Lytechinus pictus: one gene and its partners. The protein of the gene in region 1 purifies or fractionates together with the protein of each later gene. This does not show direct contact. Links are inferred from orthologs where the notes say so. Each region holds a gene or a part of one and is shown in the gene's direction. Other genes may lie near its edges. The genes, in order: F-box/WD repeat-containing protein 7-like, RNA-binding protein 28-like, dolichol-phosphate mannosyltransferase subunit 1-like and lysine-specific demethylase 6A-like.

Evidence for each region.
Region 2: the proteins of F-box/WD repeat-containing protein 7-like (region 1) and RNA-binding protein 28-like purify together in Homo sapiens (affinity purification with mass spectrometry, with the first as the bait; 3 studies listed by BioGRID). This does not show direct contact. The link is inferred for Lytechinus pictus from reciprocal best matches to the Homo sapiens genes FBXW7 and RBM28.
Region 3: the proteins of F-box/WD repeat-containing protein 7-like (region 1) and dolichol-phosphate mannosyltransferase subunit 1-like purify together in Homo sapiens (affinity purification with mass spectrometry, with the first as the bait; 3 studies listed by BioGRID). This does not show direct contact. The link is inferred for Lytechinus pictus from reciprocal best matches to the Homo sapiens genes FBXW7 and DPM1.
Region 4: the proteins of F-box/WD repeat-containing protein 7-like (region 1) and lysine-specific demethylase 6A-like purify together in Homo sapiens (affinity purification with mass spectrometry; 3 studies listed by BioGRID and IntAct, with this or other methods). This does not show direct contact. The link is inferred for Lytechinus pictus from reciprocal best matches to the Homo sapiens genes FBXW7 and KDM6A.

What each region holds. Positions count from the first base shown.
Region 1 is NC_087249.1:44,557,744-44,565,033, reverse strand, and holds the start of F-box/WD repeat-containing protein 7-like, read left to right. Parts: upstream 1-4,267; 5' UTR 4,268-4,559; intron 4,560-6,046; 5' UTR 6,047-6,074; coding exon 6,075-6,173; intron 6,174-7,152; coding exon 7,153-7,290. UniProt on the Homo sapiens protein: Substrate recognition component of a SCF (SKP1-CUL1-F-box protein) E3 ubiquitin-protein ligase complex which mediates the ubiquitination and subsequent proteasomal degradation of target proteins.
Region 2 is NC_087263.1:7,833,299-7,840,227, reverse strand, and holds the start of RNA-binding protein 28-like, read left to right. Parts: upstream 1-3,921; 5' UTR 3,922-3,946; coding exon 3,947-4,082; intron 4,083-6,929. UniProt on the Homo sapiens protein: Nucleolar component of the spliceosomal ribonucleoprotein complexes.
Region 3 is NC_087246.1:37,878,991-37,885,934, reverse strand, and holds the start of dolichol-phosphate mannosyltransferase subunit 1-like, read left to right. Parts: upstream 1-3,930; coding exon 3,931-3,971; intron 3,972-6,944. UniProt on the Homo sapiens protein: Transfers mannose from GDP-mannose to dolichol monophosphate to form dolichol phosphate mannose (Dol-P-Man) which is the mannosyl donor in pathways leading to N-glycosylation, glycosyl phosphatidylinositol membrane anchoring, and O-mannosylation of proteins; catalytic subunit of the dolichol-phosphate mannose (DPM) synthase complex.
Region 4 is NC_087260.1:15,816,970-15,824,647, reverse strand, and holds the start of lysine-specific demethylase 6A-like, read left to right. Parts: upstream 1-4,672; 5' UTR 4,673-4,914; intron 4,915-7,678. UniProt on the Homo sapiens protein: Histone demethylase that specifically demethylates 'Lys-27' of histone H3, thereby playing a central role in histone code. Demethylates trimethylated and dimethylated but not monomethylated H3 'Lys-27'.

The sequences.
Region 1 (7,290 bases):
TGGATTTTTTTTAGATATTCAGAAAGTATTATATTTTACCCTGTTCTTTTCCTTTCCTCTCCTTTCCTTTCCGTTCCTTTCCTTTCCTTATATCGGTTACATTTGACTAAGCACATGAGTGCGATTATCTAAGGGGCCGTGACACCGGGAAAGGGGGTGAGGCTCGCTTCAGCCCCAAACTTTTTCAGTAAGCGTGTACGAAATCATGAAAAGTACCGTGAAAATGTGATTTAATGCTACTTCCGACTCAGCCCCCGCCCCCATCCCCGCACCGTAAATTTCTTCGGTCTATATGACAACGTTAACGATTTACAGTATGTGGGGATCACTTCTATAGCATAGACTACTATACAGTGCGTATCAAAAAAAGTTTACAATTTGAAAAAGCCCTGGGAATTAAAAAATATACAACATGTGGGTAATTTTTTTCACATATAATCTTGGATTTGGGTCTCACTTATCCAATGAAAGTAAAAGTTTTGTCAGAATGTTACACTTGAGTGAGCACTGTCCATTTTTGTAAAGCTCGCAGAAATCTGTTTGCGCAGAAATGCTCGTTTTCACGCTGTGTTAAGGGGAAACGGCGAAATCAAACTTACCCTGCGAAACATTTCTCATACATTTCCCTTGCACTTTTAGTCAGTTGAAATAAGACGGATACATTCAAGCATTTTGTAACAATTTTGCCACCCAAATCGAAATTTCAGCACTTAGTAAGCACAACCTTTACCCTTTTTGTGCCAGCTGGATCTGAGGACATAACTGAATCTGAACAAAAGTTTAAATCAGACATCTCCAGCATTATTTCACTCAGTTTTTATCATTGAAAGTGGGTTTACATTTCATTTCTCATTTAATACATGTTTCTCCACATTTTTCCCAAGCTTGGTAATGATTAACAAAATGAAAATCAAGCTTAAGCCATTCCATGTAAATCACAGCTCAGTGTAAAGCAAATATCGTCACGATGGCCTCGGTGTGTGGGGGAGAGGAGTGGGGTGTAATGCTCTCTTCGAAGTGTTTTGGGCAAGGAAACAAGTCAAAAAAGGTAAAAATATCTTCAAATCAATTTTAATAGCTAAACTCTACGTGTTCTTCATGATTAAGGTCTACTTTTATTCGCATAACTATTTCAAAGTTCTGCGCAAATCATTTTTCACTAACTTTTCAAAAGTAAGTGGTGCTCACTCAAGCGGAAATATTTTTCGACAGTTATATCGTCATTTGATTAAATGGACCTGTACCATAGTTAAAATGTGGAAAAGAGTTCAGGATATTACAAATGTATAATTTTACAGGATTTTTTCAAAGTGTAAATTTTTTTTGATACGCACTGTAGAATACGATTAATAGGATGTGCCTATACGATCACCCTACGGGCGCACTGCGACGATCGTAGACCAAACGTTTTTTTTCTCTCTCTCTTTCCTTTCCTTCTATATTTATGTTAATGATTTGGTATTATTCATTATTTTAAAATGTTATGTATAATGAGGAATAAATAAAATATGATTTTAAAACAAAATTCGTAAACGTTGAATAAGATTAAGAAGTGATAGTGAACCATAATATTGTAATTGCTGCTTAGTGGTGGTGCATATGGTGAAGATGTGTGTATCAAGGGGATGATAGTTTAAAGGGATGGTTCAGGCTGAAATTATTTACATCTAAATAAATAGAGTAAAATTCACATAGCAAAATGCTGAAAATTTTATCAAAATCCGATAACAAATAACAACGTCATTGAGTTTTAAAGTTTATCAATATTTTGTGGAAACAGTTTTATGCACATGTCATGAATATTCATTAGGTGGGCTGATGATTTCACATCCCCACTTTCCCTTTTCTTATGTTTTACATGAAATCATAAATTTTACATTATTTCATACATGTGTAAATGATGTGTCTCCATTATGATGAAATAAGCTGTTGCGGCAAGAATAACTAATGCACTAAATCAGTTGTCAATCCAAGGTTTTAGTTCTTGGTAGAAAAATATTATTGTGAATAAACCTTATTTCATAGAATAAAATACAAAAGAAAAAGTTGGGAAATTACATAATCAGCCCACCTAATGAATATTCACAAAGACATGGCTAGAACTGCATGTATCACCGAAATAATGCAAATCTTTAAAATTCAATAACTTCGTTATTTGTTATCTGATTTCGATCAAATTTTCAGCATTTTGCTTTGTGAATTTTACTCTATTTATTGAGATATAAATATTTCCAGCCTGAACCATCCCTTTAAAAGAAGAAATCATGTTTCTACAATGCTGCATGCAGCCAAACCCTTTTTTTAATACATGTAATGTAATTTCTTTAGAAAATTACATCAAAATAAATTTATTTTCATCACCCCGAAAAAAAATCATGATAACAGCATAACTTCGCTGAGAGTAAAAAATAAAATAAAATAAATATAAGAACACAACCAGAGTATCATATAAGTGAAATTTCGATCAACTTCACCATCGCCGCAACTCGCACTGATAATCCGATACTTTTAATCAGAAAAAGCTTAATTTGGAGCCGCCGAAAGCCGTTCAACATAAAGTTTCAAGATTGGCCAACGAAACAATGAATCTACGGATTTTAAATATACTAAAAAACACTCCATCACCACTATTTTAGTGATGTTAAGGATCTCACAGAGAATAAAGAATAAATGAGTTTTGTGAAAGCTATATTTTTTATATGGACATTTGCAAAGGTGATAAACAATATGATACGACCAAGCCCTGCCACTATTCAGGATTGGTCTAAAATTTTATTGGCAAATTTCGTCACCAAACACGTCTGTTGGGAGAATAAACGTACATGAAAGAAGGAAGCCAGGGAGGGGGAGAGACAAAGAGAGAGGGGGAGCCATGAACTAAGAAGAGTAAGGAAGGCTAAAATGGGGAGAAAAAAGGTGAAAGAGAAAACAAATTAGATTGTCTCTTTTCCGTTTTCTTTCTACATTTCTATTTCCCTTCCTCCTTCTTCTACACTCTAAAAATGAAGTGCTAATTTATCACTTATTTGTCCTTGTATAATGACTGCACTTTGAGTGCTCATTCAAATTTGAACTAGGAAAAGATCAGCACTCAAAGTGCAGTCACTATACAAGGACATTAAGTGCTAAATTAGCACTTCACTTTTTAGAGTGCATTCTTCTATTTTCACTTTCATATCTTCATGATCTTTTGCCACATTTCTGGTGGTCCCTCATTGAGAGAGGGGGAGGGGGCGCTGCGCTACCCCCCACTCGTTGATGCCCACGGAGACTTCTCGCATAGGCCCACGTGTAATCCATCTTCTCTTTTTGCATGTACGTGCTGTTTAAATAATTTCTTTTTTTATTGTAGACCCCCTATTTCATTTGATTAATGACGAAAGTTACGGTGTATAATTTCACCTTTATAACTTATACTTCAGTGAAGTTGGCTAAGGCATAATTGTGGATGTCATTCAAGTTTCAAACTCTGAAAATCCCCTCAAATTTGATAGATGGGCGGAGGAGGGGGGGGGGGTTGAAATCTCATGATATGGAAGTCATAGCTGATATATATAAAGGAGCACAAAGTTTTCCAACATGCGACCAAAAACTCTCTCTGATGCTACCAAGAGATGGTTAACTGCCGATTCGTCTTTTGCCAACTCGTCTACTCATCACATGGTCAACCTTCATTTAGTCTAAAAAAACTGTCATTCCGTCCATCATCAACATTTCGTCTATCAGTGATCGACAATTAATAACCATTTGGTCCAATAATCACTTCGTCTAATCACCAGTTCATCCCTGACCATATTTCGTTTAATAAGCAGTTGGTCTAATATCCATTTTCTTTTATTCATTTCGCCCAATAACACTTATCCAATTAGACCAAATGGTTTATGGACTAAAGGGCTATTGGAACAACTGGTTAATTATACGAAATGGTGAGTGGACAATATGGCAATGAGACTATGCGCATAGATCAATGGTAGTATAGACGCGACGATGAGTCGAATTGAAATAACCCAAACTTGGGGTCTATTTCAATCGTATCCCCAAGAGATTGACACGAAAAGTTTTTTATGAAATCCGAGCAAAAAATAAGATGTAAATTTACTTTCTTATCAAATTTTTTATTTTCTCATATATCATTTCATTATTATGATCAGTCAAATATTATTATCATTATTATTATTATCAATTCAGTATACATGTCGTTCATCAGTTTCATATCAGAGATAAGAAATTTTTGGAGATCGCTATTATAAAGGATCCTTAAATTGGCAACGTAATGTAAGATGGATTAATTGCGTTCAATGATACTATCAGCTCCTCCGTACACAGAAGAAAATACTACAAAGTAGACCTCATAAAGGAGCAGATATTCTACATTTTGCACCTTTTATTTCATTTTACTACATTTCTACGATCATGATAACATTAATGAGAAGTTGCTTTACGTGAAAATATGAAATTTTCGACCAGGAAATGCTATCCTGTGGTTCCCGAAGGACTTGACGACAGTGCGAAACGCCTTGGGGCCGGCTTTGCAGCCGCACAGCTGCAGCACAGCACAGGTACGGTACCGTACTACCGCATCGCGTACCCGGCGCGGTACGGTTAATGTGTATGCCTACGTGTATGACGTGTGTGATGATTATGCGTGATCAGTCATTCCAAACTTGTGAAGTTTAGATCAAACTGTAAACGCTTTTCAAGTTTTCATGAATCTTATCTTAAAAAATTGCACCAAACTTCTTCATGAAAACCCAGTCATCTTTTGAATTTGATTTTGAGTGCTCTGCATGGCCATGCCCGGCCATGGCCTGGGAGTGGGAGTGCACGTAACAACATGATTTTCCATCAATCACATATTCACAACGCGGCGTTCCAGTTAAACGCGTTAGAGGCCGTTGTCGTTGATCCAAAAATTGGGATTGTCCCTGAAAAAACAAGGATATCCTCATCAACAAAGACAAATCAATCATGTCTTGATAAATTGTCGTTATTTATTACTAATTTGGACAGGTTTTTTTTCCACTTACCCTGGCCCTGCACTCTGCAGCCTGCAAAAAGTGCAAGATATGTAGACTAGTCTTGTAGAGTGTAGACAGCGACTAAGGGAATAGAGTGCTAAAATTAATTTAAAAAATAGATGAAGTGACTTTAGTTCCCCCACTTCACCGTCTATTATTCACGTCTTGCCATCTTCCAATAATCTTGTTATGAAATCTGGTAATGTTAACATTGACTAGCGCACTTGTTTAGTTGTCGGCACTTATTTCAGCCAGGTGAATGAACTCTATACTACTTCTTTTGTGGAGAAATCTTTGAAAACTGAAGACAGTCCCTGTAATTACTGTAATACTGGGACGATCCCAATTTTCTGACCAGCGCCTCTACTGCGTTCAGGATCTCTTCGAAAATGTGCACGTCATTAGATTTATTGTGTGCATTCACTTTCACTGTCCATCTGAGGCTGAGCTATCTAACTCGGTCACAAAGACTGAAAGAGCTTACTTTGTTGGCAGTGCTGAGCCAGTTTTGTTGATAGGGTCAAGATATAGGTTTTCCAGACTAGTTGTTGAAGGCCCTATTTGAACAAAAATTAAGAAAAGCAAAAAAAAAAAGAGAATTTCCAGTGGAAATTGTCTAATGAACGGATGTCTTGATCTACGGTACTGTTAGTTAGAAATCATTGATTCTTCAGTCAATTGTCCAGAACTGCTTAGTGCTAGAAGGCTGAAGGTCCAACAAATAATGTACACCCAAGAATCCAAGATTTTTTTTTTCATGATAAGATATAAAAGATTGGCATCCAGTAAAATATCCAAAGTGATTAAGTATGTTGCTGCGAGTGCAAGGTGTTGATGTCATGACAGAGTGAGATACGTTAAGTTCTCGCAAGCTCTGGGTTCACTGAATAATGTGTGAGTTGCATTTATGACTGTAAAGACTGTATGTACATGCTTCTGCTCCTACCATTCCATGTTTTGAATTGGAATGGAACTTGTTATTTCAGTGCATGTTTTTTTTTTGCCCCCGTTATATTTGTGATATTCAGCTGAGAGAAAAGGTAGTCTTCCCGTACCATGGCAAAGGTAGACATCAATTCTGCTGATGTAGATGCCCTGACATCTCTACTCGGTGTGGGGAGGAACAGAGCTGAAGCTATCGTCCAGCATAGAGAGGTATGTATGGTTCACACAAGTTCAAGCTTTGATAATCTATTTTGGTCTGCAGTTTTACAGATTGGGTTGAATTTCCAGGGAGCAATGTTCTACACTCTAATGATAGGATTAGGCCTGAGTCATTACGTTTATTATGAAAAAAAAATATATACCTAGACAGGCAATAAGGGTTAACCAACAATTTTTTTTTGCGGGGGGGACCCTCTTCAAATGTTGCTGAAAATGTACGTTTTGCATCTTTACATTCTTATTACCTTGAAAGTATTGTGATTTCTGTAGAACTTTGGACTACAAAGAAAATTTGTAATCCTTTTTTTTTTCTTAATTCTGAAAGATCAATTTAATTTGATGTTTTGACTTAGTATGTTCTGATGAAATATGTATGATATTGTCTGAAAACTGGTAATCGTACAAACTGTGAGTGTCAAATGGCTTAGGATGCGAAATTAATAGTGCATGATAGCAATCTCATATTTCCTGCTGGGACACCCTCTTCCCCTCCCCTTTCTCCTTCCCAGTTGATCTTTGTAAGACATGTTTCTTTAATATGGTAGTGAAGAGGCAAGAAATGTTAAAGTGGGGCATGATACTGGTGCTTCTCGGTACTTTATTTTGGAGAGTGAGTTGACTTTTAGTGAGAGATCTGTGTTAGAGCTAGTGTTTTGCTCAAAGGAATAGAAGATGGCTTTGGAAAAACACCCTTTGTGTCAGTTGTGTCATATCCAGTGGTGAGTGCTCTTCCGTGTGAGAGTAGTAAAACAGGATTTTTTTCCCCTACTGTCTTTTCGTCTTGTGCTGTGTTTCGTTTTCAAGGAAGTGAGAAAATGAAAAAGCTGGCAATTCTTTATTGATTGCCCCATTGCAATAGTAATTGCAATGTTACTCTTTTGGATATCTCATGAACGATATGTCTGTTTTCTCAAACATTTTGAGAGTAAATTGAGATTAAAATACATGTTTTGTGTTTGTAATATTGCAGGCCTCTGGGGGATTCAACAGCATCCAGGACCTGATCACAGTACCTGGTATCGGGAGCAATGTGGTGGATATGAATAGGAACCGGCTGCAGTGCCGTACGAACCATGATGATAGGACTCAGTCAACACCTTCCTCTAAC
Region 2 (6,929 bases), on another chromosome or scaffold:
TCGGTTGCCTGCAAGATGCGACCTTTGACCCTGACTGCGTCTCAAGTTGCTAATATTTCTATCACCAATCTTCTTGGGAGATGTTTGGATTCCGAAAATTTCTCCCGGGTTTCCGCCTGAGTTTCTGAACCCCGCCAAAGTACCCATCAACCCCGTCCGTAGAAACCGTTTTGAAGTTTTTGAATTCGGTTTCTCGGATTTCGGGGGCTTCAATTCTCCTGATAATGTGCATTGTATACAGGTCCCGGATACAGGTAATACTAATAATAAAAACAGACTAAAGGAACGAACTTGAAGCATCCGCGTAGCCAGGATTTTATTTTGGAGGGGGCGGTAAATGCACGCGAAGCGTGCCAACGGTGCCAACACTTACAGAGCGCGCGAAGCGCGCTCCCTAGGGGGTGGGTGCAGGGAGGGGGAGTTTCCCCCTCCCTCGCGAAGCGCGAAGCTTTCGGTGTTTCATAAATTAAAATGAAAAGGAGCCGTCTCTCTTGTCTCTATATCAGCTCCAATTCAGTTGAATATATTGTGATTTTGAACCTTGTTTTCAAAAGTGATTGTGAACGCACAAAAAAGGGATAAAATAATAATTACTCCGCGCAAGGCGCGGAAGCTAAAGCGTTTTATCAATTTTTTTTTTCCAAAGAAAAGGGTCTCGAGATAAAGGTTCTCTAGGTTAAAATAAATGCGTCCCTTGGAAAGATCAGATTTGATTACAAACAATTATATCTTTAACTCGCAAAACAGAGGAGAAGAAGCTAGGGTATATGCCGGGAGGAAGATATTCCTCCCCGCCCTGAGCAATTAAACTCTGAAATTTCAAAGGGCGGACGTTTCATCAAATGCAGATATCTCTAATACCCCATCGGCTATAATTCAATTGATTTTCTAAGATTATTGAACTTCATTACAAGGAAAATAGTGCACAAAAAGTTGAAACTTCTGTGATTTATTTAAATTATATAAAAAAAAATGATTTCTTTGACTAATATCCTGAAGCGCTTAATTTTGAATGATAAAGAAACTTAGATGTCATTCGAAATTTCAAAATGAGGGCGCAAAACAGGATAGGAGATGATCGTGCAGGGACATGAAGTTTAATAGAATTTGATAAAAAAATATTGTACTTTTTTTATTTAATACGACACGAATTGTATACCTTCCTCTTTTATAATAGGTACCTGTTTGCCCCCAAATTATGGTTGTTTAGTAATGAGCTGAAAAGCGGGAGAAGTTGCCTATATGGAGGTGACGGCAGAAATTGATATAAAGATTTTACCCGCCCGGAATCGACCCGACCAGAAGTTGTGCGATCAATTTGAAAAAAAAAAGATAACTTCATATACTTCGGACTAACCTTACTCTAATTCCATTCCCTAATGTATACATTTGAACTTTAACTGGCAAGAAACACATATAGCTGAGGTGGAAAAACAGGGTTAGAGAAAGAGTGAGGGGATACAAAGGAGAACTGCAATATTGTCATTTAACCGCGCGCAGCGCGGAAGTAAAATTCATATACATTTTAGAGCAAGAGTGAATAGTTTCTCTTTTGAGAAAAAATTAAAAAGAAAAAGAAAAACCCACAAAGCTACCTTTCTTCCCTTTCCTCCCTTCGCTTTTCCTTTTCTCCTCTCTTTTTCCCTTCTTTTTTTTTTTTGGGGGGGGGACGTTTTGGGGGGGGGGGGCGACCGCCCCCACCGCCCCCCCCCCCCCCTGGCTACGCGCCTGACTTGAAGTCACTGCGACAAAACATTTTTTTCTGTTAACCTTTCACGTTGAATTGAAAGTTTTGCTGAGAACATGACTGAAACCATGGAACTTAGTGACCACAAAGGACGGGGATGGGAAATGAATTAAAGAACACTGAGGAACATTAAACGGAAAAATATTCCGTATTCTTGAAAAGGTACCAAAAACTAATGACGCTCACGCTTTTAATAGGCTTAATAATATATATTTTTTTGAGATACGCATCCTACATGTCCTATTGTTTTCAGGTCTGAATATTAATAATAATAAAACCTACTCTTTGCGCTCAATAAATTGCGACTGAGATACGTTGAGCTTACACTGGAACAATAGACCTACCAGGTCTAAAAAAATAATAATCCGTCCAGACTTCGTACTCGCAATATTTGGTTTGATATATTTTAGCAGGCCTTTTCGTTTCATGAATTTTTGCCAACAATCCTTGAAGCGTCCCTTTTCAAGTCATCGCATTATTCGCATATAATGTGTAATATAAAATGTCCTTGAATGAGTTTGGAATTCAACAACAATAACAATCAGCCCGAGTTTCGTACTCAAGTTTGTATGATAAATAGGCACTGATCCTGATCATTCTACAAACAATTATCATTAATTAAAGCAAATCCAAGAAGCCTAAATTGATGATGTAAAACGAACCAATGAAATTTGACTACAGGTGAAGTCCAGTTTCTGCAAATAGCCAGCCATCTTAAAGGTCCACCGAGGGGGTGGTAGTCAAATGTATTGCTGTGCACACGCGTGGCCAAATTATTTCCAAACACCCCCTAGACGAGTTTTTCTCTGTGTGCAGAATAACCCCCTGAACATGTTTTTCGTGGGCTTCATTTACACGTTTTGGCCCCTAAACAAGTTGTCGCCAGAATTTACCCCTGAACAAGTTTAGTCTAATTGCTAACAATAAGCTTAAATAGGCAACACTATATTCATTGGTATAGCATCCCCCAGTGCAGTTAGGATTAAAATTCCACAAAGGAATACATGTTAACACTGTGAATAAGTGTCATCTAATCTAATAAGCCCGGGGAAAAGCTTGGGGGGAACGTACCCTAAACACGTTTGGCTAGTCTTAAAAAACTTTGGAAAAAAATACTTTAAACACGTTTAACCCCGCGATTGACTATTGACCAGTTTTTTAAAGCAACTTTTTTGGGAAAATCGGTGATTTTGATACCCTTTACGAGTGCACGCGCGGCCCGCGTCCAAAAACGAAAAAAGCACGCCTTTGTGCGTTTATTTATTATTATTTTTTATTTTATTTATTTATTTTATTTTTATTGGGGGGGGGGGGTCACGCATGTTTACAGCAATATATTTGACTGCCCCCCCCCCCCTCCGGGCTGACAAGTCCACCCCAACAAAAAATTGATTTGAATAAAAATACGAAAATCCAACAAGCATAACGCTAAAAATTCCAACAAAATGGGATGTAAAATAAGAAAGTTCTGACATTATAAGGTCGCTTAATTACACAAAACAGTTATGCTTTTCCTGGTTGGTATGCAAATGGGGAGACTGATGACATCATCCACTCACTCTTTCGTGTGTATTTTATTATATCATATATGAAATATTCTAATTTTCTCCTCATTGCCAAGTGAAACATAAATTAATTCCTCACTGACAATGGAATCCCGACTGTGGTATCAGCATTGTATACGGTTTAGTCAAGTTGGGCTTTAATTGTCAAAATCTTAAAAAATGAACTATTGTATGATTCAAACAATAAAAATAAAAAATAGTGATTGAGGGACATCATCGTCTGTCTGTTTTGTGAAATATAAGCGAAACTTTAAAATTTCATAACTTTCTTATTTTACACCCGATTTTGATGAAATTTTCAGCTTTGTACCTTTTCCCCCCTATTTATTCAAATCAACATTTATCTTGGGTGAAATTGACCACATAGGAGGAAAACCTAGAACTACATATCTGCTTTCGGAAACTTCCTAAGAAGTACTTGTTTTGCATACCCTGGCCTGTTGTCATCAATCTTTCATCGATTATTGGACCGCCGAGAGCGGCCGAGAGTTTGTCATCTCATCCTTAATGGTCGCTTGCTAAAGCGTTGATCTGTGTGGAAAGAAACCAAGAGGAAGAAACACTTTTACCTAATGGTCGCTTCGTACAAGGAGGCACTTTATTGCGCGTGCGCGTACAGAATTGACATTTAAAGATGGCGGCGTCCACAGCACATGTGAGCTCAACACTTTTTATAAGGAACTTGCCATATTCGGCTACGACTAAAGATTTGGAGTCACAATTCGGAGAAATTGGTCCTATTAAGCAGTGCTTTGTTGTGACTGATAGAGGTAAGTGTGTAACTCCTTTTTTTAATTGGCATTTTCATCGCCAGACATCGTCATAGTTTGTGTTTGGCTTAGACCAAAAGCTTCGGTCTCTGTTATGTTGGTTGTTCAGCTGAACTCCGTTGGCTTCACTCACCAAATACAGAGACCGAAGTTCTAGCGCGATCTGTACAGGGGACTCAACGGCCATATGTTTATGTACTTAAGATCGGATAAAACGGGGAAGTGAATTTGCGCGACAGTCAAGGTAAGTCACTGTTTTTGTTCCTTTTAACTTGATTTTTCTCAGTTTTTTGGCAATTAATGCCAAGAGGGAATATTAATTTGCATTTTGGTCGCGTTAATTTTCAAAATTTTTATTCATTAAAGACAAAAATTGAAGAGCCCCGACGGGGGGATTTTGCATTGCAAGTCCCCTAATGGTGGCTGCACGCTAGCGAGCCGTCTGTGTACGAGGAGAAATAAAAAAAATAAAAAAAGTTAAAAAACTCCTCGAAACAGACGGCTGCCAGCTGTCTAGTTTGGCTTTGCCTTTGGCTTTGAGTTGAGACAAGTTGAGTGCAGGCACTCATCGCTCATTCAATGAACAAGAGACGAGTGCAGGCAGTAGAGGCGCTGGTCCAAAAACTGGGATTGTCCCAGAAAACAAGGATATCCTCATAAACCAAGACAAATCATGTCTTGATAAATTGAGACTGTCCTTGTTTATGGGGACGTTTTTTTTTCACTTCTCCCTACGGGACAAAGACAGCAATTACGGAAATTGAGAGTGCTAAAAATAGATTCAGTGACCTCAATTCCCCCCAGTTCGCCGTCTATTTTTCATGACTTACCGTCTTCCAATAATCTTGTTATGAAACCTGATATGTTTACATTGACTAGCACACTTGATTGGTGTCGGCACTTGACAGGTGAATGAACTTTCCTAGATTTCTAGTGTGAAGAAATCCTTATAAACTGAGACAGTCCCTGTATTCTGGGACGATCCCAATTTTCTGACCGGCGCCTCTACTGGCAGGAGCGGAGCCGCACCGCGCCGCCTGGGGCTGGGCAGGCCGGCGAAGGCAAGCGTGTGCGCGGCACAGTTTGCTCACTGCAACCATCCTGCCTGTGGGGGAATCTATGTAGGATTAGCCAGGAGGCTTCTAGAGAGTAAAAACATTTACTAACGAGTAACATAAGGTTACTCTCAATTCTCATATACGAAGCCAGGTCTTCCTTCCTATACTTTTGCGTGTAGCCTACCACCAAAAAACCTGAAAGTTTAGTGAAACTTTCGCCCCCCGAGATTTCAACTTTCTTTCTAAAAGATCTAGCCCTAAATCATGTACATGAGATACAACTTCATTTCCGACATTTCTACGCCATGGATTTTATTTCTAGACAAGAATTCATCAAAAATATGAGGAAAATATCATGAAAAGACGGAAGAGACTTGCCCTATGTTTACGCCGCCATCTTGTTTTCTATTGTTCTTCACCCACGATACGGACGCTTGCAGTGTACAACACACTTTAAAATATAACATTTTTGTGACCCAAAATACGAATTTCCATACAGTTGCAATTTTATTTTTAGAAACAATGACATGAGAATCATTTATGTAATTGTATTCAGCAGACCAGAGCGCTCAAACTTCAAAAACTTGAATTTTGGGCATATTTTGGTGGACTGGAAAGTAAATAATATGGGAAGAAAATTTTCATTTTTCAATCTCTATTTTTTTTTTATTTAGAAAAAATTGGTGGAAAGTAATAAATATGGCAAGAAAATGTTCATTTTTAAATTTCTTTTTTTAATTTAGAAAAAAAAAAGAATCAAATTTAATTAAAAGCCAAATTATATGATGATTAGCTGTAATGGGAATCTGAGTGTCTGACAGTATCAATATCAAGCATTTGCTCCAAAGCAAAAGAGAAAATAAGCCAAACATTGCCAACCTTATTTTGCCACACATGGAGTACTAACAGTAACACTAACAGAGAACAAGGTTATATCATACTATAGTCTATAGTCTATAAACCCAGGAGTCATCCGTGTAATACTAGTCAAACATAAATCTATATACTCTCCAAAATGGGGTAGAATGGGGTCGGAATAGCACTTCAAATAAAAGGGGAAAAAATAAATTATGCACTTACCTCGATTATATGGATGAAGGTCTATCGTGACACAGGCTCACTCATTCAATGAACAAGGTTATGATATAACTTTGTTCTCAGTTACATCTCCATGTGTGGCACAATAAGGGTGGCAATTTTGGCTTATTTTCTCTTTTTCTATGGGACAAATGCTTGATTTTCTTACACTGTCAGTTTCCAATACAGCTATTCATCATATAACTTGGCTCTTATGTAAATTTGATTCTTTAAATTATTTTTTTTTAATCAAAATTAGAGATTGAAAAATGAAAATTTTCTTGCCATATTACTTTCCATCAATAGAGGGCGTACATAAAAATATGCCCAAAATTCAAGTTTTTGAGCGCTCTGGTGAATATAAAAAATATTCCCAAGTTACTAATGAAAAATAAATTGCAACTGTATGGAAATTAGTAATTTTGGTCAAAAAAGTGATATTTTAATGATTTTTTAAAGTGTGTGCTATGTACAGCATTGGCATACCATAGTCCTACATGTACCTGTAGATTCCCCACAGGCAGGATGGTTGCAGTGAACAAGTGCACAGGCTCAGCTATCCGAACATCGAGGCACAAACTGGACCCTCAAAAAAAGAAAAAGTTAGATGTCTATGTCGTGTTTGTTTTGGTATCGATCGGCCATTTTGTTTTTAATTTTGACAGAAGGAAAACGAACGAGACAGAACTTTTCCTTTTTTGGAGGGTCCAGT
Region 3 (6,944 bases), on another chromosome or scaffold:
TTGACAGTCTTAAGTCTCTGTTCAAATGTCATTTATGGTCAATGAACGTGGTATTATGTCATTATATGAATGATGTTTTTGTGAATAATTATTTTATAGTAGTTTTCAAAGTTAGCACTGCTGCTATATTAAATTGCGTAATGCAGGCGAGACTGCCAGAGGCGTTCCACTTGTTTAGTTTCATGGGTTTTATTTTAGCACTGCTGGGCTAAAAGTAAATTCCTGGTTTTTATACCTGTTAGTAGTTGTAGATGTGTTATACAATTTTTGTTTTTGGTTTACAAGTATAGATGAAAAGTGAAATTTGAAATTTGCCATTTATGAAGATAACTACATGTATGATGGGATCAAATTCATCAACTGAAACAGTAAAATAGCCCTAATTCTTCCGCCAGTCAAAAAATAGTTCCAAGTCATTGATACATCTTCCCAATTTGGGCAAAGGCAGTTAAGTAGTTACCATAATTTCTAGAATCATTGTTAGATTTTCAATCATATTCATACACTTGTGTCAATCAGCAATTTATCAAATTGAAAAAAAATTGAATGGGTTGGGTCGAACAAATAGCTTTTGCCTTCTGTTGTAATTAGCCTCACGGCACCACAACCACACCACAGACCTCTACAGAGCTGGATAAAATGCTTCTTACCACAACGATAGTAGTCTCTTTCTCCACTGACACTCAATAGTTTTTTCTCTATTTTTATACACAAGAATAATTGTTGTAGCACCATCAGCGTAGTTTATTCTATAATGAAATGTATCTTGTCATATATGGTGAAAGGAAATATGCTTTTTTTATTGGTTTTGCTTCTTCTCTCAATCAGTCTCTTTTTGTTTCATACTATCATTGTTATTTCTATTATTATTTTTGTTTTTCATTTATTGTTCATATTGTTGTTGAATGTTCATTTTCATCATGATATCACTTTTGCAAACCCCCGTTTTTTACCGCCCTGGATTAATATGGGTGAAGGGTGAAGGTTTTATCGATATGAAACAAAATTGCGAATTTGTCTTGATTGAGGCTATCCAGAATGCATTATGAGCATTATTGCCAAATAAAAACAAGGAATGGAATGGAATGAGCAATATTTTGTCCAAACGGGTTGATGAGCCTCTTGGTTTCGTGAGATCTTTTTTCTTTTTTCGATTTGTCACTGTTGAACACCATAGACGTAATCGAGACAAATGGATGAGCTTAACGTAGAGAAATCGGTGAGTTTTTATTTATTTTTTATTTGATATTGATCACTTAGATGGCCTTTCCATAAAAAAACAGTTTTAATGAACAGTTCAAGCTTGCATTAATTTGCGATGCTTTTGGCGAGGGATTGGGATGATCAAATAAAGAATTTTACAAAATGGCGCCTAGATGACGTCATCATGACCAGATGACCTTGAAAAGCTTATTATGGCATCTCTAAGATAGACTTTATAAATGACATGAAATTCAGTAAAATTGATAGAGCCAATTTAGAGAAAACTTGGCAACAAGAATTGGCTATAAAAAAATAAATATATAAAAATAAAGAAAATTCTAACGAAATCAAGAGGTGATCTGTCATAGACTGACCACCTAAATATTGCACAATAAAAGAGATTAAAATTTTTATTTTTTTATTTATGTGTATTACCTATACCTTTTCACACAACCTTATCATTTCTCCCTTTTCAAGAGTATTCAACAAGTTCTAAGTTCCATTATAAAAGTTCAGTTTTCATCATGATGATCATATTGATCTGAATAAACGTGTTGATTGTATTTGTGATTATGAGAATCAGGGACAGATCACTTAATTCGTCCTCATGACGAATTAACATTCTAGTTTTCATTGAAAATCCATTAAACATAAAATTGTAAACCAAAACCTATCAAAATGAAGAGAACAAGGTCTGAATTCCTAGACTAGTTTTAGACATACATGCATGCTAATATACTGCCATCTAGAGGGAGTGAGGGACATAATAAACTCATGTGCCCTCTGGCTGTGTAAACACTTGACTCAAAATGCCTCGCAAAACCCCAAAATACATAAAAAAAGAGGAATTTCTTTAGAGGAACACCATACCATGTCATGAAGAAGCTGAAAAATGGAGAAGAGGAGGTACAAGAAGCAACACCAGTATTAGAAAGAAAGCTATCCCTCAACAAAACCATGGAGAGCCCCGATCTACAACAAAGTGGTCCCACATGCCAAGATTTACGTAGGGATCTTGATGGTTTTTACCTGGTCAGTGGGAAACGGCTTGCATCTGCTTTACAAAGGACTCATGTGTGCCAAGGAGGTTTGTACTTCTTATTGCTTATTTTTGATACTTTACTCTTTATAAATGTAGGTCATGTAGATCAATACCCATTTTAAAATGCACTTATTATGGCTTATGCCCTTAAACCTAAATATCTTCATGAATATCTAAATCTTAGTTAGATCGAGATCTGCCTGGCTCTGTCTATGTGTGCAAAAAAATGAAAATATAATGAATAAAAGACCATCTTAGTTACAATTCCCCCATCGTAAAAATGGATTGCAAATTTGCAATAATCAATCTCTTGCTTGATAATCAAGATAATATTGCTCTGAAATGGATTCTATATTTTGTAGATAAAGTACAAGTCCACCCTAACAAAATGTTGATTTGAATAATAAAAAGAGAAAAATCCAACAAGCACAACACTGAAAATTTTATCTAAATCGAATGTAAAATAAGACAGTTATATTATGTTTTAAGTTTCGCTTATGTTCACAAAATAGTTAATACGCACATGACATCCCAGTCGGTATGCAAATATATGACTTTTTATGAGGGAACTGATGACATCACTCACTATTTCTTTTGTATTTTATTATATAAAATATTTAATTTTCTCCTCACTGTCATGTGAATGTAGTTTCCTCCCTAAATATGTGGAATTAACGTCATTTTAATATTCTATGGTTCAGTCAAGTTTGTCCTTATTGTCAAATTTGTAAATATTGCAATTTCAAACAATAAAAACAAAGAAATAGCGAGTGAGGGACATCATCAACTATCTCATTTGGTGCATATAACTAGTTTGTGAAAAATTAGTGAAACTTCAAAATGTCATGTAACTTTCTTATTTTACATCTGATTTGGATGAAATTTTCATTTTTGTGCTTGTTAGATTTTTCTCTATTGATTCAAATCAACACTTTTCTGGGGTGGACTTGACCTTTAATTGATTGGCTATTCAATAATACTTGATGTGGAGCGTTGTGGCCCAGTGGATTAGTCTTCTGACTTTGAAACAGAGGGTCGTGGGTTCGAATCCCAGCCATAGCGTAATTTCCTTCAGCAAGAAATTTATCCGCATTGTGCTGCACTCAACCAAGGTGAAGTGAATGGGTACCCGGCAGGATTAATTCCTTGAATGCACTGAGCGCTGAGAGGCAGCTCAAGCTAAAGCCGGGGTAATAATAATGATAAACAATGCGCCTCGGAATAGATTATTTCTAGATAGATGGCGCTATATAAATGCCTATTATTATTATTATGATATTTCCTGACTTTACAGGGCACCTGATTCCTTTGGAAGATTTGTCAAAGAGGGAGGAGCTGCTTTGCACACTGGTCCTACGATGCTCCATCTGCAGCAAAGAGGAGGAGTTTTGTACCTCAGAGAAAGCGTTTGAAGGGCCACTGAAGTCTGCCGAGATCAACAGATGAGCTAGACTGGCAGCCAGTGAAATTGGACTAGCCCTTGGCTTCCTGTTTAAGAGATAATACAGATAACTTCTTATCTACTTCAAGGCCTTCTCACGCACACCATGGTGAAACAGTCTGAGAAGTAAAATGTCATGGTTGAGAGGGTCATACTAAAGCATTGGAGAAGTCCAGGACAATACCTACAGTGTGGGACGATCAATCGAATGATGGAGAACATTTTAAACAAAAGAGATTAACGCATGGTCTGTACCGTGCTCCTCATGAAAGCCAAGCTTGAAATGTGAGAAAATATGTTTCTTCAAAAAAGAAATCCTTGTTGAAGATCTCGACTCTCAAGATTGGTCTTGGTCTCAAGACCAGTTACGTTTCATCTTGGTTTTGGTCTTGAGCCATCTGGTCTTGGATTTCCGGTCTAGACCAGCACGTGACATTGGTACCTCAATAAGTTACATCTGATCTATTATTTACCAGGTTCATTGCTTGTTCACTTTCCACATGTTATGCATTTTAGTTTTAAACTTTGGGGAAACAATAAAATAATTTATCTTTTCAAAGCGAATTAGTTTGGTTAGTGTGTTTTTATACAGTACGTATCAAAAAAAAAGTTTATACTCTTTGCAAAAGCCCTGGGAATTAAAAAATATATGGCATGTGTGTATTTTTTTCACATATATTCTTGGGTTTGGGTCTCATCTATCCAATGAAAGTAAAAGTTTTGACAGAGTGTAACACTTGAGTGAGCACTTTCCATTTTTATAAAGCTCGCAGAAATTCTTGTTTTCACGCTGTGTCATGGGTAACAGGCGAAATCAAACTTACCCTGCGAAACATTTCTCATACATTTCCCTTGCACTTTACTCAATTGAAATAAAACAGATACATTCAAGCATTTCAATTTTGCCATCCAAATTAAAATTTTAACACTTAGTAAGTACAGCCTTTACACTTTTTGTGCCAGCTGGATCTGAGGACATAACTGAATCTAAACAAAAGTTTATATCAGACATCTCCAGCATTTGTCACCAAGTTTTTATCATTTAAAGTGGGTTTACATTTCATTTTTCAATTAATACTTGTTTCTCCACAGTTTTCCCAAGTTTGACAATGATTAACAAAATGAGAATCACGCCTAAGCCATTTCATATAAATCACAGCTCAGTGTAAAGCAAAGATCGTCACGATGGCCTCGGTGTGTGGGGGAGTGGGATGGGGTGCAATGGCACTCTTCAAAGTGTTTTGGGCAAGGAAACAAGTGAAAAAAGGTAAAAGATATTTTCAAATCAATTTTACTAGCTAAATTCCATGTGTTCTTCATGATTAAGTTCTACTTTTATTCATATATATGGTCGCATGTCATAAGGTGGTCCAATTTCGCGAACAGGGTAAAAATGGTCAAAATTTTATTTTTTGATATGTTGTAGCTATTACTATTCTCTAAATAATGAAAAGGTTTTAAGTCTCGAATACCTTTATTTTTCCTTAAAATGACTAATTAACAGCTAATTATTACATAGACGTCAATGTAAATGTGAATTTTGAAATGTGTATTTCTCAAATTGGACCTGCTGCACAGAAAATAGTGTCAAAAGTTAATGCAACATTGGATCACCCTAGTATTTTGCAGTTATAATCTTGAAAAACATCAATAATTAAATCTGTACCAAAATCAAATAATTATCTATTATTGTATGCATATTTATTATACTAATTAATTAACAGTATTTAATTTCACATTTTTGCCCCCAAAATACCTGTCACTGTATTTATATGCTTGGCAAAATGACATCATGGGTAGAAATGTTTGTTGCAATGATACACAACATTTGTACTAAAAATTAAGATTACAAATTAGTTAATTAATCAAATTTCTCTGGTTTACTAATTGATTAGGTTGCAGATCAGAGCTGACATACTTATGTATTTCATTGCTGCATATTTTCAAAATTGTCAATTTTTTTTTGACATTTAGTTCCCTGCTTTAAAATGCCCAGAAATATGAGGATAACAGTCATATTACATATTATAGTAAGTTGTTAATTAGGTTTAATTAATATTCTATCATTCACCACATCCACCGGCTCCGCCACCCCTATTACTTCAAACTTAATGTGCTATAGTTTTTGTTCCTGATATTGTATTGATCTAATTCATAGTAATATATTAAGCCTATAGTTCTAGCTTCAAAATGAGACCTTACACAACAAATTTGGCCATGGGGCTGTGATGTAGCAACAATTTATCCATGGCACCGTGTGGAAAATTGTTCATACGCCACCCTTTTTGCATACCCGACTTATGAAATGCGACCATAACTATTTCAAAGTTCCACACAAATCGTTTTTCACTAACTTTTCAAAAGTAAGTGGTGCTCTCTCAAGCGGAAATACTTTTCAACGGTTATTTCATTCGCTTATTAAATGGATCTGTACCAATGTTAAAATGTGGAAAATCTTCAGGATATTTATTACTTATATATAAGTTTACAGGGTTTTTCTAAGTGTAAACTTTTTTTTTGATACACACTGAAGAGTCTATATTTTCATTTTGAATGTGTGGTACCTTTCGTGCTATAAATTTGTAGTTGACTTTATTTTTCCAAGAAGTTTTTAAGAGATGAAGAACCATCATCCCTTTAAAGCCAGTTTGATGCCACGAGGATAAAATATGTCAGGCATCTGCTTCATTGGATTTTTTACTGTCCGATGTTAAGACAAGATTCCTGCGTATTTACAAACGTACTGACCAGTTACAAAAGGGAATATGCTATTGTAATGTCTACTTTTCACTGCTCCCGGCACATCTGTGCTCCGTAACACAAAGGTTTGCAAATCGCTAAATACCAATGACCAATCAAGATCATCGTTACATGCGCACTCTGTTTAAAATACTGACCGGGAGCCAATCAGTGCGGCTTTTTCATATTTGCAATTCATCGCAAACCCTTGTGTTACGGAGCCCTGGTCGGTAAATATATGAGCAGACCCATTGCTAATTTTCATGGGGACAGCAAAAATAAATGTAGCAATATTTTTTTAAATATAACTTGAAATTACTGGACTGGCCACATGTGACTTTAACTGACACATAACATGTATATATTCCCACAAACTAATATTGAATCATTTTTTTGTAATGAGGAAGTTTGTGGTAATGTTGATTTAAGATTTGTAAAATTCTGAGGGTTTTTCACAGTTTGCAAACTGCAATCATACAATATGTCACCCAATTTCAGGTAAAAATAAGGCTTTGAGAT
Region 4 (7,678 bases), on another chromosome or scaffold:
CGCTGACCCCCTGTTGAAATCCAAGGTCAGGTCAGTTGGTGGGCACCCCCCCTTCCAACATCCAACACAAACATGTAGGCCAACACTCTTTGCTTGCGTATTACTAATGCAGGGGTCGCTGAGCGATCTTGAAAGTTGGGGGTGGGGGGGGGGGGGGGGCGGGCCTGACCAAGAAGAAAAAGCAACAAGTAATTGTAATTTTCATGGTTATGAACATTGTAGAAAAAAAATGTGGGGGGAGGAGGGTCCACTCCTTCTGTAGCCCCTGTAATCAACTGGTAGAAACTTAAAGTAAATTTAACCACTGATAAATCACGTTTAGGGGTTTTGGGGTGCATTAAAAACACCCTAGTAAAATCACAAACTTGAATTGAAAATGAAAAGGCATAGGCCTACACAATATAGTCAATGCAGGCCAGTTTATATACAAGCCTAACCACAGTGCAGATCAACTTGAGTGTACACCAGGGGAAAAAATTACATGGGGGCTAGGGGCGATTTAGCCCCCTAAATACTCAGAACAGCCCTTGAAACTAAAATAAAGGAGCCCAGGAAATCCCCATTCATTGCAATGTTAAAGCTTATCCAACATTGCAGATTTAGGCAGTAAGGTGTGAAAAAGTAGCCCCCGAAAATGAAAATAAAAATTATGTTTCGCCTGATGTACACAGTTCTTATATGAACTGCGAAAAGCCTCATCACAGGATCATGATTGTGATTGCATTGAATAAAAGCATGATAAAATATTAGATTCGTATACAATACTGCTATTGGCTGCATGCTTGAATCTTTTTTTTTTAAACAAAATGTAGGTATTGGAGATGGTGAAAATGGGATTTACAGAGCAATGTATAAATCTTTCACAATTATATAAGTGTGGTAAAGAATGAACCCCTTTGCCAGAATCTCTCATATTGATTGCTTTTGTTATTGTTGAAAATTCTGATACTAATCACACACACCCAAAGAAAATGATAATCACAATTTTTTAACAAGCTCATAAAGTACCCCACTAATATTAACAAATAAAAAAAGAAATGCCATTAAATCATTATTTATTGAGGCAAAAATCTTTTTTTTTCTCTTTGATTTACCTCATATCTGAAAATAGTTTTACGCATTATGAATGAATGAGAAGAAAAATAAAAGATAGCATCAATAAATTATTCTTCCCACGTATTTAAACCATCAAAAATTCATCCAGTCTTTGCCGTCTTGATTTCATTGTTGATGCTTTAAAAGCCCACCTTTACATGTACTTTCTAATGCTTCTAGATTTTGTTCTTTGACGTTAATGATGCAGATATTAATTCTCATACATCAAGGTGCATTCTTCTTGCTTTTGAGCCTTGTTTCGCTGTCTGAATCACCTTTCACTAATGTCTCGTAGGCCGAGTTGAATCTTTTCGTAAAGTGGACCGTGCCTGTTCCATGTGAACTGGTGATTGTATGAAACAGTGCAGAATTTTATTGAAAAGGCATTAAAATAAAAGTAGTGTGCTACCATTTCAAAATGCTTCAGCTAGAATAGTTCATATCCATTTGACTCTATACTGAGATGGACTGTAGAAAAATAGAAAGATAACAAGGTATTCAAATCAATAGATGGATGGATGGATAGATAGATAGAAATAGATCATTAATTAGTAAGATTCTTAAATGAATGTACAGATAGACAACTAATGGATGGATGAATGAATGCATGCATAAATTAAAAGAAAGTAAGACAGAATCAATAAATAAATTGATGAATATATAAATGAATGAATCAATAATACATGATTAGATGAATGAACAGTGAATAGTGATATTTTCAATATACACACTTGACCTTTATAGCCAAATACTACACCACACTAAAAAAGACAACTTTCGATATTAATCTTTACCCTTCTTTACAACGGTCAAGTCCCTCTACAAAAAAAATTAGTTATATCAACAAAACAAATGTATTTTGGACTTTTGGTATTGTTTTTCCTGCATGCTGTGGATGGTCAACATGTTACAGTGCTGTTCAAATGCAGAATAGTGATACTAAAAGATGTATATATATTCTCTTAATTTTATATTTTGAATCTCATAGGTGAACACAGTCCTGATTAAAGGGACTGGTATGTTGATGGCCATTTGCTTTGTGTAGGAAAAGCAAATAGCTCACAGCTTGCTCTCCATTCAATCCAGGTTTCGTTAGGAATGTGTAGTTTCATTTTCAACAAGCCGAGACTACAAAGATGTCAGCTACTGTGTACATCTTGTGGTTTATTCCTTATTTGTCCACTACTTAGACCCCTGTTACATCTGAGAGATTCCCTACCTCGGGCCGGCCCGGGGCCTACCTCGGGTCGGAAAGAAATCAGATGTAAACATCCCAAACCTACCTCGGGCCACCTTTTAGCGAACCTACCCGAGACCACATCCAGAGGTAGTCTCGGGTAGGTATCGGGCCGGCCCCGGTCCACCGATTCGTAGATGTAAACGCACACAAGCTTTCGAACCTATCTCGGTCCGTTCGCCAGCTGTCAAATTACGTCATAGCGCGCGCTATCCTCTCCCCAGCCCCGTCGTTCTTCAAATGTTTTGCGGCATGCGACATGTGAATTGTGATTGATAAAGTCTTTGATTTGAGTGGAAAGAAGGAAGCATTTTAAACGTATCCTTTTCAAGTCGATCATATCTTCAACGACTGCTGGGATCATCAGCATTCTTCCTAAATCTCGGGTAAAGGTAAAGAGTCGTTTCGACTCTCTCTGGAAATGATCGGCACACGTCCCACCCTGTCATTTCTGTGTAGCAGCCGACGAGTGTAACGAAATGTAAACAACTTCAATTAGCGCGCGCAAATTATTCAGAGCCTATAGATCGAGAGCGCCCTTTGGTGTCAGCAATCGGATACTGCTCGAAACCGTACCGATAGGGGATGGAATGAACGCTGTGATGTAAACAGACCACATTTCGGACTCAGTCTGTTCGCGAAGCTAATCCACCAATAATCCAGTCAAGGTTGCAAGTGGACTCGGTCGGGTCTCGGGTAGGAAACTTTCAGATGTAACAGGGGTCATAGACTGCTAAGATGCAGAAGGACTTTGAGCGTCAGTCCCTCTTGCTCTGAGGATATTGACCACTGAGGAGAAGATGAAGTGGCTAGTCTATTTCATACATTCTTTCTGTTTTCCAGCTTGAAATGAAAGTCAGGAATTTGAGTATTCTACTGGCCATTTTCAGTGTGATGTCTTGTAATCTTATGTGGAATGAAGAATCAGTTTCTCTCGTACTTATTTGTACAATTGGAAATAAACATTTGTTTGTTGTAAACTTTTGGTCAACAGTCAACACACACACAAAAAAAATAATAAAAAGGTTAAATTTTTCCCATATGAATTCAATGAATGCTTTCCCTCTCCCAATCCAAAGATACAAAACCTTCAATTGAAGAAGTATTCCCTTGCAAAAAGTAAATTTGGACGTTAAAACAAAGTAACAAACTAAAACAAATAAGCGTCATGCTGAACATTTCATCGAAATTGGATTTTCAAAGTTTTGCTCATATTCATGAAAAATGCATGTAAAGAACTAGCAATCTAATGTACATTCTTTTGCATGTCAGTTGTGACCATATATTCAAATATGTGGGTCAAGTTGGTCACCGCCCTTCGATTTCTCAACCAATCATCTATGAGGCATTGGGTTGTAGTATTTTGTTTCCTGTTGTCTTTCATTGTGTCACTTATGACCTTTTGTTATTGATTTTGGAAAGGTGAACTAAATCTAATGTTGTACTATGTATTGATTCTCAGCTAAGTGGTCTATTGATTGTATCACATAGGACAAAACTAAATAAAATGTCGCTGGGTTCATTTTAAGTTCATAACTACGGAAAGGCCAATGCCCTGAATCACAAGTCCTATGTATAGCTTTTGTTATCTCCAATAAAGACGGGAAGGGGGTAAAGAAGGGGGCATGGGGTGCTTGAAAATTGAGATAGCATTAAAAAAATGACATTTAATTTCAATTTCTAGTATTTAGTCATATTTGGTATATAAACAATGTTTGAGTCAATTCAATAATTGTTATTGAACCTTTTTTTCTTCTTCAGAGAAGAGATGAATCTGGCGAAGTCGAATTCACAATTTAACCCTTGACTCATCTGACTAAGATGTATTTTAAGGATATGAAAGTGAATGATAAGATATTGCGTACGTGAAAAGCTATAGATAAGTCGTTTGTCATTATATTTGTATTTATTTTTGCCTGCTTGTTTCATATAAGCATTTGATCCCTCACATAAAACAGATTGAATGTGTTTTGTATGTAGGTTGAAATTTGAAAGCCAACCATGGAATCCAGCCTCCATAATGATGCAGTTGATACACCGTACATGTATTACTCCTATCCAAATCATAAACAACCCTGGTGGGTGTTTCATAAAGCTGTTCGTAAAGTTACGAACGACTTTACGCATGACTGGAACATGTTCTTAGGTCATAACTCAATTACATAGGGATATGACATCGCACAAGAAAGGAAAACCAGTCGTGCGTAAAGTCATTCGTATCTTACGAACAGCTTTATGAAACACCCACCAGGGTCTAAAAGAGTAGACTAGCGGGTCTGAATTCCATTCTATTGTTGCAGTGCCTTTTTTGTAGAGTGACCCATCTCAAACAACAGGCTTGGCAGACCACAAGGGGATCAATAGGGGGTACACATTCAAGTCAGAAAGGGGGGCTAATTACGCACCCATACCAGAAGAGTGCACATGCAAGGGGTGCGTTTTTACACCCCTCTACCACTTCCTGTTGACCCAGGTGTATTGGAAATATATATTGGACAGTAACTTGTTTCTGTGGAGTGATCTTGGAAAGATATCTGGACTTTATGCTACATTTGGGAGTCAGGAGTTACTAGAATAACTAGGTATGTACTGTATAGGGGGAGTTTGATCTGTTTGGGTCTCTTGCCATCTGCACGTGGTTATTGTGTACAATCTTCGTTTCAGTGTTCATGCCTTTCCGGCTTTACAGGAGGCATACACTGCTACTACATGTACATGTGGGGTAAATAGAGTTGTAGAACCTACTACTAGTCTCCAAACTTCTTTGTGCTCAAACTTTGAAACTTGGTCAAGTTCTATCTACCGATTCACCCACACTTTTGCGCTGGATTATATATTCATTTCACTGAAGGGGCGCATCAAGTTCTCCAGAAGTGTGTATTAAGAGTTAGGCCTATAGTTTTCAGTACTCCGGTACCTGACAATTTTTTATAGGCTGTATAATAGTGCTGTGAGCGCTTGGGCATGTATTTGATACATGTAAGACATAATATAATGTTCATGCCTTTTGTGCTAGTTCTGTCCATTTTTAACAAATTAGTTTGTTATAACATGCATGTAGGCTTTTTCATGTACAATATTGGTATCTCTTCTGTGTATTGTGATCAGGAATTTGCTAGCAACAATAACATACATGTATGTAGATATTGATCTTTCATTGAGCAAGTAAGCTCAAGTTCTGTCCATTTTTAACAAAATAGTTTGTTAATACAACATACATGTAGGCTTTTTCAAGTGCAATAGTGGTATCTCTTGTGTGAATATTGATCAGGAATTTGCTAGATATTGATATTTCTTTGAGCAAGTAAGCTGATGGGTCTGTGTACACCACACCATAAACTACAAAAATACATTCATGTAGGCGTAACTCATTTCCAAACTATTTGTTATTGACACTGACTGAATTAGTCATAGTTTATACAGTCTTATAGTGTCTATTATCAGTTAAAGTGTAACTGATAAAAAACAAATCTTTGTAGAGCTTGCAAGTTTGTTTTGGTAGAACACAAAGGCCCGTATTCTGAACTCGGGTTTAAATTAAACTCTGGTTTAAAGTTGTGGTTTAACTATGGAGAGCCAATTCGGGTACAATCCCTAACAGTACACATCCAATTTATTAACTCATTTGACACTCAAATTGTTCATAATTGTCTGGGAATGATAATTGAAGTAATTTACTTTGTTATGAAAGCAACTGGAAAAAAAAAGTAAACGTAAGAGAAACAGAATTTTGAATTTTTGGCAGAGAGTTAGACTTTGGTCTATTAATAAGTTAAACATGACTTCAGAATACGGGCCCAAAGGATTCTCAAGGAATCAGTTTGCTCTTTCTGAATATGGAAATAAGAATCATCATAATGTCATAATCCCACTCAGCCCTCCCTTGAAAACCAGTCATACATGTATGCACTATTATTTATAACTGAGCTACATGTAAATGTTGAAATTCACTTTGAATTCAAAATTCCATCTATTTTTTTTATGAGTACATGAAGACTTACTTTCTTCTAACTACAGTAGGCCTGTCTGATTGTACTTTTACATTTACACTCAGCTGCTTGGTCAATCTTTCAATTTCTTTTGTGCTGATGATGGCTGATTCTTCATGTGTGGGGATTAGTGGGAATTAAGTTAATTATTTGCTGCATGATTTATTAGATGACTGAATAGACCAATCCACATCTGGGGCCGTTTCATAAATGCAACTGTTGTAACTTTGCCATTATGGCAACTACCATGGCAACAGGGCTCAGCAGCCAATCAAAATCAAGGTTACCATGGTAGTTGCCATAATGACAAAGGTACAACAGTTGCAAGTCCTTTATGAAATGGTGCCCCTGTTCTGTACAGCTGTTTACAGATAGCTGTAAAACAGTGTCTGCGGAAGGGAGACTACTCCCAGAACCAGAGATTACTGGACTGTGTGTAATAGGAATGTCTAGCCAGCCTCACTGGCCTGCTCCAGGGTAGAAAAAAAAAATTGGGTTATTGCATCCACCTGTTTCTTACCCTATCTGACCTTGCACGAGGTCACAGTTAGGCCACTGGTCAATCAGAGAGAATGACCACTGACTGGGGACAAGGTCAGTCTGGTCAGTTGGTGTCTTTACCTTTCACTCTGTGTACAGAGTTGGATAGCTTCACATGTAAGATTAGATGATGCCCAACAAGTGGTCTAACCACAGAGCTCTCCATGGTTTGCAATCACTGTCAGTGCTTACTACCAATCGGAATCGTTGTTGCATACAAATTTTGTTCAAAGCACTGACCAGGAACCAATCAGAATCGTTCTTTTATATTAGCAATCCATCACAGATCTTTAATTTGAGGGCCTGAATGTCATGAAGGCCTACATGTAGTCATGATACCATAGCCTTTTTGTAGGAATTCTTGTTTCTTCATCGTTTTTGAAATGGTTTCAATTTAATTTTAGATTATTTAGTCATTTCTTGTGCTTTCAATCTTTTGGAGGGTTTCTTGAAGGATAAAGGATTAATTAATATGTCCATCAGTATGCAGATACTTTACTTCCGTAATCTTCTGTTATAAAACATGGCTTTTTAAGACTTTATTTGGTAACTTTTATATGTACATGTAGCTTGGTATGATGTCAAGTTTTATTTTAGATTATTAGATCATGTCAAATACCATCAACTTTTTGTAGAGATTTGATATACAAGCTTCGTAAGGTATTATTAAGAATAGAGAATTATTCATGAGCCATGTCCAATTTTTAAATATTCATTCTTTTCTTTTATGAATCAAGTTATCTTTTTTTGTACTAGATTCTTGGTGAGTAAGAAAGCCAAGGATAAGGAGAAAGTCATTGAATAAACATTGGTTCAG